Linked DNA regions of Alligator mississippiensis. The protein of the gene in region 1 purifies or fractionates together with the protein of each later gene. This does not show direct contact. Links are inferred from orthologs where the notes say so. Each region holds a gene or a part of one and is shown in the gene's direction. Other genes may lie near its edges.

What was found.
Region 2: the proteins of PSMA4 (region 1) and ADRM1 fractionate together in Homo sapiens (co-fractionation; 3 studies listed by BioGRID, with this or other methods). This does not show direct contact. The link is inferred for Alligator mississippiensis from reciprocal best matches to the Homo sapiens genes PSMA4 and ADRM1.

What each region holds. Positions count from the first base shown.
Region 1 is NC_081834.1:30,788,623-30,792,365, reverse strand, and holds the start of PSMA4 (proteasome subunit alpha type-4), read left to right. Parts: upstream 1-1,036; 5' UTR 1,037-1,186; intron 1,187-1,572; 5' UTR 1,573-1,595; coding exon 1,596-1,598; intron 1,599-2,921; coding exon 2,922-2,964; intron 2,965-3,743. Other genes in the region: HYKK (hydroxylysine kinase), read left to right, coding at 1-233. UniProt on the Homo sapiens protein: Component of the 20S core proteasome complex involved in the proteolytic degradation of most intracellular proteins. This complex plays numerous essential roles within the cell by associating with different regulatory particles.
Region 2 is NC_081832.1:5,778,429-5,782,171, reverse strand, and holds the start of ADRM1 (proteasomal ubiquitin receptor ADRM1), read left to right. Parts: upstream 1-1,465; 5' UTR 1,466-1,530; coding exon 1,531-1,740; intron 1,741-1,923; coding exon 1,924-2,040; intron 2,041-2,125; coding exon 2,126-2,249; intron 2,250-2,589; coding exon 2,590-2,676; intron 2,677-3,743. UniProt on the Homo sapiens protein: Component of the 26S proteasome, a multiprotein complex involved in the ATP-dependent degradation of ubiquitinated proteins.

The sequences.
Region 1 (3,743 bases):
TGACGCCAGAGGAGAGAGGTGCCCTCTTCCTTTTGGTGAGCGGTAGGTTCTCTCAATCGCTGGTAGTAGCGGCTCACACTTTGCAGTTATATCCTGAAAATCAGGAATACTTGATGATCACAGCCCGAGTGGGATGGAAGCACTTAGTCCAACTGTTTGAGGTGGGCCAAGAAGTGGTTGAGAAGATCTGGTTTGAAACTGCAGATGCCTATGCCAGTGCTGCCCAGGCCTAGCTTGCATATTTCCACTGAGGAGATACACAGGGATGTAAGGAAACCTGCAACTTGCAGTGCTGGGACTGGGCTGCAGTTATTAAACGTAGGTTATGACAGAAGCTATACATCCGGGTTTTCCTGAACATGTCTTTTTTTTTGGACCCCTATGCTGCATCCAGGTGGGTTTTTAAATTAAGAGCAAATGTCAGGGTTTTCTGCTCTCCTGGGGTGGCTGTTTGGGGTTGGGAGCAGTGGGCAGTGCCAGTGGCTGCTGGGGATCACATACTCCCAGTGCGGGCTCCAGCAACCAGAGAGAGTGAGAAAGAGGTGTGTGAGAGAGCCGGTGTGCATGCAACACAGGAGCTGCTTGGGCAGCAGGGCTGGGGGGGCAGGGGTCTGCGGGTCAAGAGTGAGGGGTACCAGCAGGGCTGGGAGGGGGATGGGTCACTGTGGGTTGGATGTGCAGGGCACTGGCAGTGCCAGGGGCTGTGGGTCAGGAGAGGGGTACCAGCAAGGGGTGGGGGCAGGGGGCTGCGGTTTGGGAGTGAGGGGCAGGGGCAGGGCACTGGCATGTCACTGCCCCCCCCCAACCCCGTGTCCTCTATTTTGGACCCGGAGCCCCTAGGGGGTTTCCTAATGTGTAATAGCCCCAGGGGGTCCTATGCTCACAGTATGTCTGTAGCCGTCCACCCTGCGCTCTCGAGCCGAGCAGGCCGGGGCGCACAGACGCTCCCAGGCGTTGACCGCGTCGGGGCGGGAAGCTGGGCCGAGGCAGCCGCGGCCGGGGGGGTGCTGTGAGCGCGATTCTACCTGCGGCCCGCGGCCGGGCGGGGCTCAACGTCACATCCAGGTCCCGCCTCTTCGGTTCCGGCCGGGCAGAGCCAGCGCGCATGCGCGGCGGCCATCTTTGGCTGAAGCCGGTGTGGAGTGCTGTCGGCTGACCGGTCCCCCGCAGCCCCTGGAGCCCCGCGGTGAGTGCTGGCGGCGCCCGCGGGGTGGGGGCGGGGCGGGGTGGGGTCCGGGCCCCCGAGGGGGGCGGGTGTCCAGGCTCGGCGGGGGCTGCGGGGCTGCCCCGGGCTTAGCGCGGGGGGTGGGGGATGACTGTGCACTGCCGCCTCGAGGAGCCGGGCTCGACTCGGCGCGGCCCAGGGCCGGCGGGAGCCCCCGGGGCCCGTGCTGCTGCCCTGCTGGGGGCGGGGGCGGGAGGGGGTGGGTGCCTCGCTTTTACGGCGGGATGTCACCCGGTTTGGGGACCCGTGCTGTAGTGCAAGCGTCCTGGTTAAATAAATGCCTCCAGCGTCCTCGGCGTGCCCTGGGTATCTTGTTGTCACCTGACAACTTTCATTTTCATTTGCAGCCTAACGTAAACTTCCCAGCAACATGGTGAGTTAATACCTGACGGCTCAGCTCTTTAGTCCCTTGTTCACTTAATTGGTTAAACTCTTCAACAGCTAAATCAGATAACAGATAATCAGTGGGAAATGGAGGCTCCGCTCTTGCCAGTAGTAACGTTTAAGTTTATCTGGAAAAACGTGCACAGAAATATTGCAGGGTTGGGCTCAAACTTCACAAGAAAGACCAGGAGTAAGGGAAAAGTGTATTGAGGTAAATATGCATTCAATTAGGGGCGAGTAAAATACAGCCTGTGGCTGCCCAGCACTTTCATTTAGCCCACAGCGCCCACCCACAAGTTGTGCACTGCCTAGCCCTTCCGCCTATGAGGATGTGAGTGAGGTGCCCATGTGTATACCTGCCCCCCCCCAAAAAAAACAACATATCCTATTGTGCCTTGCTCCCACCCTCATGGACATTAGGGCTGGGCCCATGGGGCTTCCCTCCCATGCCGTATGAGTGCAGGGGCTGCATGTGCGCGGCAGGGAGTGCCGGGGATAGAGACTGCCCAGTGGAGGCTGCGCCCTGACGGCATGAGTGCCCCCGCCTGCTGCTGCCACACCCTAAAGGAAGCGTGGGGGGGGGTCCCATATCTCCCCACCTTCCCTCGCACTTCACAAATGCCACACACCCACACCCTGCCCCCACAACTGTCCACATATACACAACCCCCCAACGTACCCTATTGCCCCCCACACAGTCACAACCCCCCTACCGCACACGCACATCCCCAACCACCCCCCCACAATATACAAGACTACAAATATGTGCGGTCACCTCTATATACAGTATGCAAACAAATCATAACCAAAATATTTTTTGTAATGAAATTAAAATATGTTATAGTAGGTGTTGGACTTTTAGTGTATGCTTTGGTTTTTTTTCTGGTTCTAAGGTGGCAACCCCCTCCCAAAAGGAGTATGGGGGGTGGGGGAGCAATGGGAGGGACTTCCAGTGACAAGGGTTAGGGGGTGGGACTTCTGGTCCCAAGGTGGCGATCAGGGGGCAGGGCAACTGTCAGGGGCCAGGGCTATCCATGTGGTCCTCAACAGCTCACCAAAGCTCATTAAGCGGCCCTCTGCCTGAAATAGTTGTCCACCCCTGCATTAAATACTTGCTCCTTGACCACCAATGAAAGGTTCTAATGGCAACAAAATTGCCTGCTGTGCTGCTTGCTGTCTCTTGTAAATAAGAGAGTGGGGTCACTGGATGGCTTCTACATGTGATTGAAAAGATGACTAGTATAAAATTTCTTCTTGTGGCAATAGAACAGAAAAAGTAAGTTGTTTTTGCTTTGTTTTTTTCTTTAAACAGTCTCGAAGATATGATTCCAGAACTACTATATTTTCTCCAGAAGGTATTTTTTGTGAATGGGAATGAATCACTGGACCCTTCAGCTTTTTCTGAAAATTAAATAGCAGCTAAACTTGTGAAAAGCTGTCATGTTGGATGTTTACACTTTGTCTGATATGTCAAATATTACTTAAATCTGGTTTTCACATTAGGAATAACACCCAAAACTGTGTGGTCAAAGTGGAGCACTACTTTCAATTTTTTGATTTAAGAACAGAGGCATTAAAGATCCTTTGCTTTATTATGGGGGGGGGGGGGGCTATGGTGAATTTTAGCGTGGCTGTAGCCCCCCTCCCAGCGCTGCCCACCCCGAGCACAGCCCCGGCCCAGTACCCCCATCAGGAACAGGTTGGTGCAGGCCCCAGCCCCAAGCCTGCAGCGGACAGCCTGTCCTCGCCCCATGCTCAAATCTGGGGGACACGTGTCCCTTTGTGGCATTCCCCCAGGGGTGTGCACAAAGGTGGGGAGCCCCCTTTGCCCCCTGGATGAGCTGCCTGCAGCACAATCTCCCACCCCACCCTGCCCTAGCTGGCCAATGCCTGCCCTGGTCCCATTCTCTCCCTCACTGTGGGGGCCTCAAGCTGCCACACTCCTTCCCTCCCCCATGCCTCTTCCCTCCAGTAGACTTACCGGCCAGATGCTGCTCTCTAAGCTACTGGACTACATATCAGCAATTGGATCAGTATTGGCCAATATGGTATCGGCCAAAAAAGTTTTTATTGGTGCACCCCTACTACATAGTGTAGTAATTGCTGCTTTTTAGGGCTTGTTTATTAGAGTGGG
Region 2 (3,743 bases), on another chromosome or scaffold:
GCTGCTGTAGAGGAATTTGAGTCTAAAACCACACATGCACTTTAAGTGTGCACAGGCACTTTAAGGAGCCTTGTGCTGGGGGTGCCCCTTGCTGCTGCCCGCATTGCCCATGCTAGTGGTCTAAAACCACACAGGCAATCCTCTGCCTCTTAAGTCAAAATATAATTCAGAACCAACTTTCTCATAAGAAACAATGTTATAAATGGGAGAGAGGATATTGGGCCTTGGTTCAGGAACCAATTTTCACCAAAAATACCCCAGAATTTTGTACTCGGATCAATTATAGATGAGTCATATAGCTACATTAATGTATTTATATTGTAAATAGCAATCATATCGATTTGGAAGGACTTTGGTGACTTTGCTGGACTTTTTGAAGGGCTCTTGGCTGCAGGTTTTCTGGAGTCTCGTCTGCTTTGTTAAAGAAAACATCCAAGGAGGTTTGGACAGATGTTCTCCAGGGAGACGGGCGATGCAGCGAAGTTGTTCCCTGGCGCCGTGTCGCATCGCATCAAGAGTTGTGAAGTCGAAACTGACGTCAGAAAGTTGAAGCAAGGTGTCCGTTTATGAACGCTGTAAGTGCAAAACGTAAGTGTGGACGTTACAGCAGAGGGTATTGAGCGCTCGGATTTGAGGGCGAGGGTCAAACTCCAAGCAGGGCATCCCAGTGGCAGCACTTCACCAAGGCGGAGAGGAGCGAATCTGAGGGTGGAAATGGATGTTGCCTTTGTGCTGCCCTACTTTTCTTTTATGGCCGCACAAAAGCCAAGCAAGTGGTCGTCTATGCCCTTCCTACCACCAATGGGGTTGTGATGAAGGTGGTATCTGCTCGTGCCACTCCAGTTGCAGACCCCTGTTTGCTTTCCAGCACTTGATAAGTGAGGACAGGGCATGTTCCAGGTCCCACCGCATGCTCCTAGGGCGTGAAGGGCCTGATCCTGGGTGGGAGGGCCTGTTTTCCCTCCGTGCTATGGGTGTTGCTTACAGATGCTCTTCTCCCCTGGGTGTTTTCCACCCCCAGAGCCTGGGTTTCCACTGGAGATGTGGCTGTAGCACCAGTAGGGATTTGGAAACTGGTCTGTGCTGGGCCCCAGGCCATGCTGCAGCCCTGCAGGGCCAGGTCCTGGGGTAGCAGTTCCACCTGGCGCCGCTAGAGGCCGCTCCCCCTCTCCACGGGGAGAATGGGCCGTTCCATTAGCTAGAGGCCGCTGCCCCTTCCTCCATGGGGAGAATGGGCTGCTCCCTTCCTCCATGGGGACAATGGGCAATTCCATTAGCTAGAGGCCGCTACCCCACTCCCCCCGCGCGTGGTTCGGCCCGTATGACACAGCACAATGGCCCCAAACGCCGCGGCGCGGGGCATGCCGGGCCGGCCTCGCCTCGAGTGGCAGCGCCGCGAACCAATGGGGGGCCGAGCCGCGCGGGGCGCGTCCAACAGGGCGGCGGCGAGGGCGGGCTTCCGGTGCGGGAGCCGGAAGAGCAGCGCAGCCGCCAGCTCTGAGGTGAAGGTGCCGGGCGGCTCCCCGCAACATGTCGTCGGGCGCGCTGTTCCCCAGCCTGGTGCCGGGCTCCCGCGGCTCGTCCAGCAAGTACCTGGTGGAGTTCCGCGCGGGGAAGATGTCGTTGAAGGGCAGCACCGTCACCCCGGACAAGCGGAAAGGCCTCGTCTACATCCAGCAGACCGACGACTCCCTCATCCACTTCTGCTGGAAGGACCGCACCTCCGGCAGCGTCGAAGACGTGGGCGCCCGGGGGGGGGGAAATAAATCAATAAAGTGACAAAACAGGCCCGAATAAGCCTCAAACGGGGCGGGGCTGCCACGGGGGGCACAAATAGGGGCGGGTCTTACCCCCCCGGGACAATTGTTTGTGGGCACACCAACATTTAGTTACCCCCCCCTCCCCCCCCAAATGCTTTTGCAGGACTTGATTATTTTCCCTGACGACTGCGAGTTCAAGCGGGTCCCGCAGTGCACGACCGGCCGCGTCTACGTGCTCAAGTTCAAGGCGGGCTCCAAGCGGCTCTTCTTCTGGATGCAGGTTTGCGCGGCGGCGCCGGCCACGATCGGGGCGGGGGAGGGGGGGGGGCCGGGCCTGTCTCGACGACCCCTTCCCTTTCTTCCAGGAGCCGAAGACGGACAAAGACGAAGAGCACTGCCGCAAAGTGAACGAGTACCTGAACAACCCCCCCATGCCCGGGGCGCTGGGCGGCAACGCGAGCGGGGGCCACGAGCTCTCGGCGCTGGGGGGTAAGGCCCGTTCTCCGCCCCTCGGGTTGGGAAGGTTTATTTTTAAGTACAAACTCGCAGCTTTCTAAGAGCAAACCCCTGGCGAGTTTGGAGGGGGGGGAGACGCGAGCGCCGCTGGACGTGCTGCCGCCCCGCTCGCTTGCGGGACGACGTCCGGAGTCCCGCCTCCGAAACCAAGCGGCGTTCGTCTCTTACGAGCGTCTTGAATTAGCAAACGCTTGCAAAACGCTGTTTTTTCCCCATGCGAAATGATGCCGGTTAACCTCCAGCTGTTGGAGCGAGTGGGGGGGGGCTGTGAAAACTGTGTGAATACATTGTTTCAGGCTGTTTTTGTTTTTAGGTGAGGGTGGCTTGCAAAGCCTTCTGGGAAACATGAGCCATAACCAGCTCATGCAGCTGATCGGACCAACGGGCTTAGGAGGACTTGGTAAAAAGCTTTCGTATCTTTACGCTTTCGTATCTTTACGCCGATGTGGTGCTTTCTCCTGCTGGGTTACGTCTTACCTGACGCTGAATATTTTCGCGTGACTTTGAATAGCACTTCCCTTGTGCGAGGCGGCAAGGTCCCGATGCTGTCGCTGCCTCAGAAACAGGACGAGGAGACGAGAAACGAAGCAGCCGCGAGCTGTGCTCGGCACGTGCTTCCCTGGGGATCGATGCACAAGGGAGCTTTGTTTCTGGTCCTTGCCCCACTGACTGTTTCACTAATTGTGTCCTGTAAGCGTTCAGCAGAGCCCAGCTTCCCCCTCCCAGGCGTATGCCCCGATCCCCTGGCTGTGGCACACTTTTTCTCTGACTGAACACTGAATTATTAATGCAAGATGGAAGCATTTGAACGGGAGGGATTGAGAGCGTGTTTGGCCCAGAATAGTTTAGGGCCTGAATAGGGCCCTCTCTCCTGGCAGGCCAGCGATGTAGGTTTGAATCCTCTTCTGTCAAGGATGGAGTTTAAACCCTGGTGAGCAGTTGAGTCCCTTGAGTTATGCGAGGTTAGAGGTGACTTTGGCATCTTCTCTGAGGGCCCAGAGGAGATCTCTGAGATTCCTTATTTCTTACATTGGTTCCTTATTTGACATTGGTCTCTTCTTTCCCTGGCCTTTGTTTTTAGTGTAGAATAGCTTGGGTTGAAGCACGGTGCTCGTGTCCCTCAGTGTCAGGGCCTGATGTGCTAATTAACTTCCTGCGGGGAGAGGCAAGGGGCTTCTGCAGGTGGTGAGCATCTGGTTTTGGCATGGCTCTCAGCCCCTGCTAGCATAAGGACTGCCAGCCTGAAGTGTGGGATTTTGTGCTCTCGTATCTGGTTTGCACATCTCCCTCGGGGTACTTCTTCACTGCCACCCTTACCTGAACTGCCCAGCTGAGGTGGTCCCAGTGTAGTGAAAAGTGGTGCTGGCCTTGTTAGTTTTACTTTGTTGCTGTGGGATCAGTGTGATCAGGGACCAGGGGAGGTATAGGGCATGGTCTATTACTGCTGGGTGCATTCTGCACAGTAGA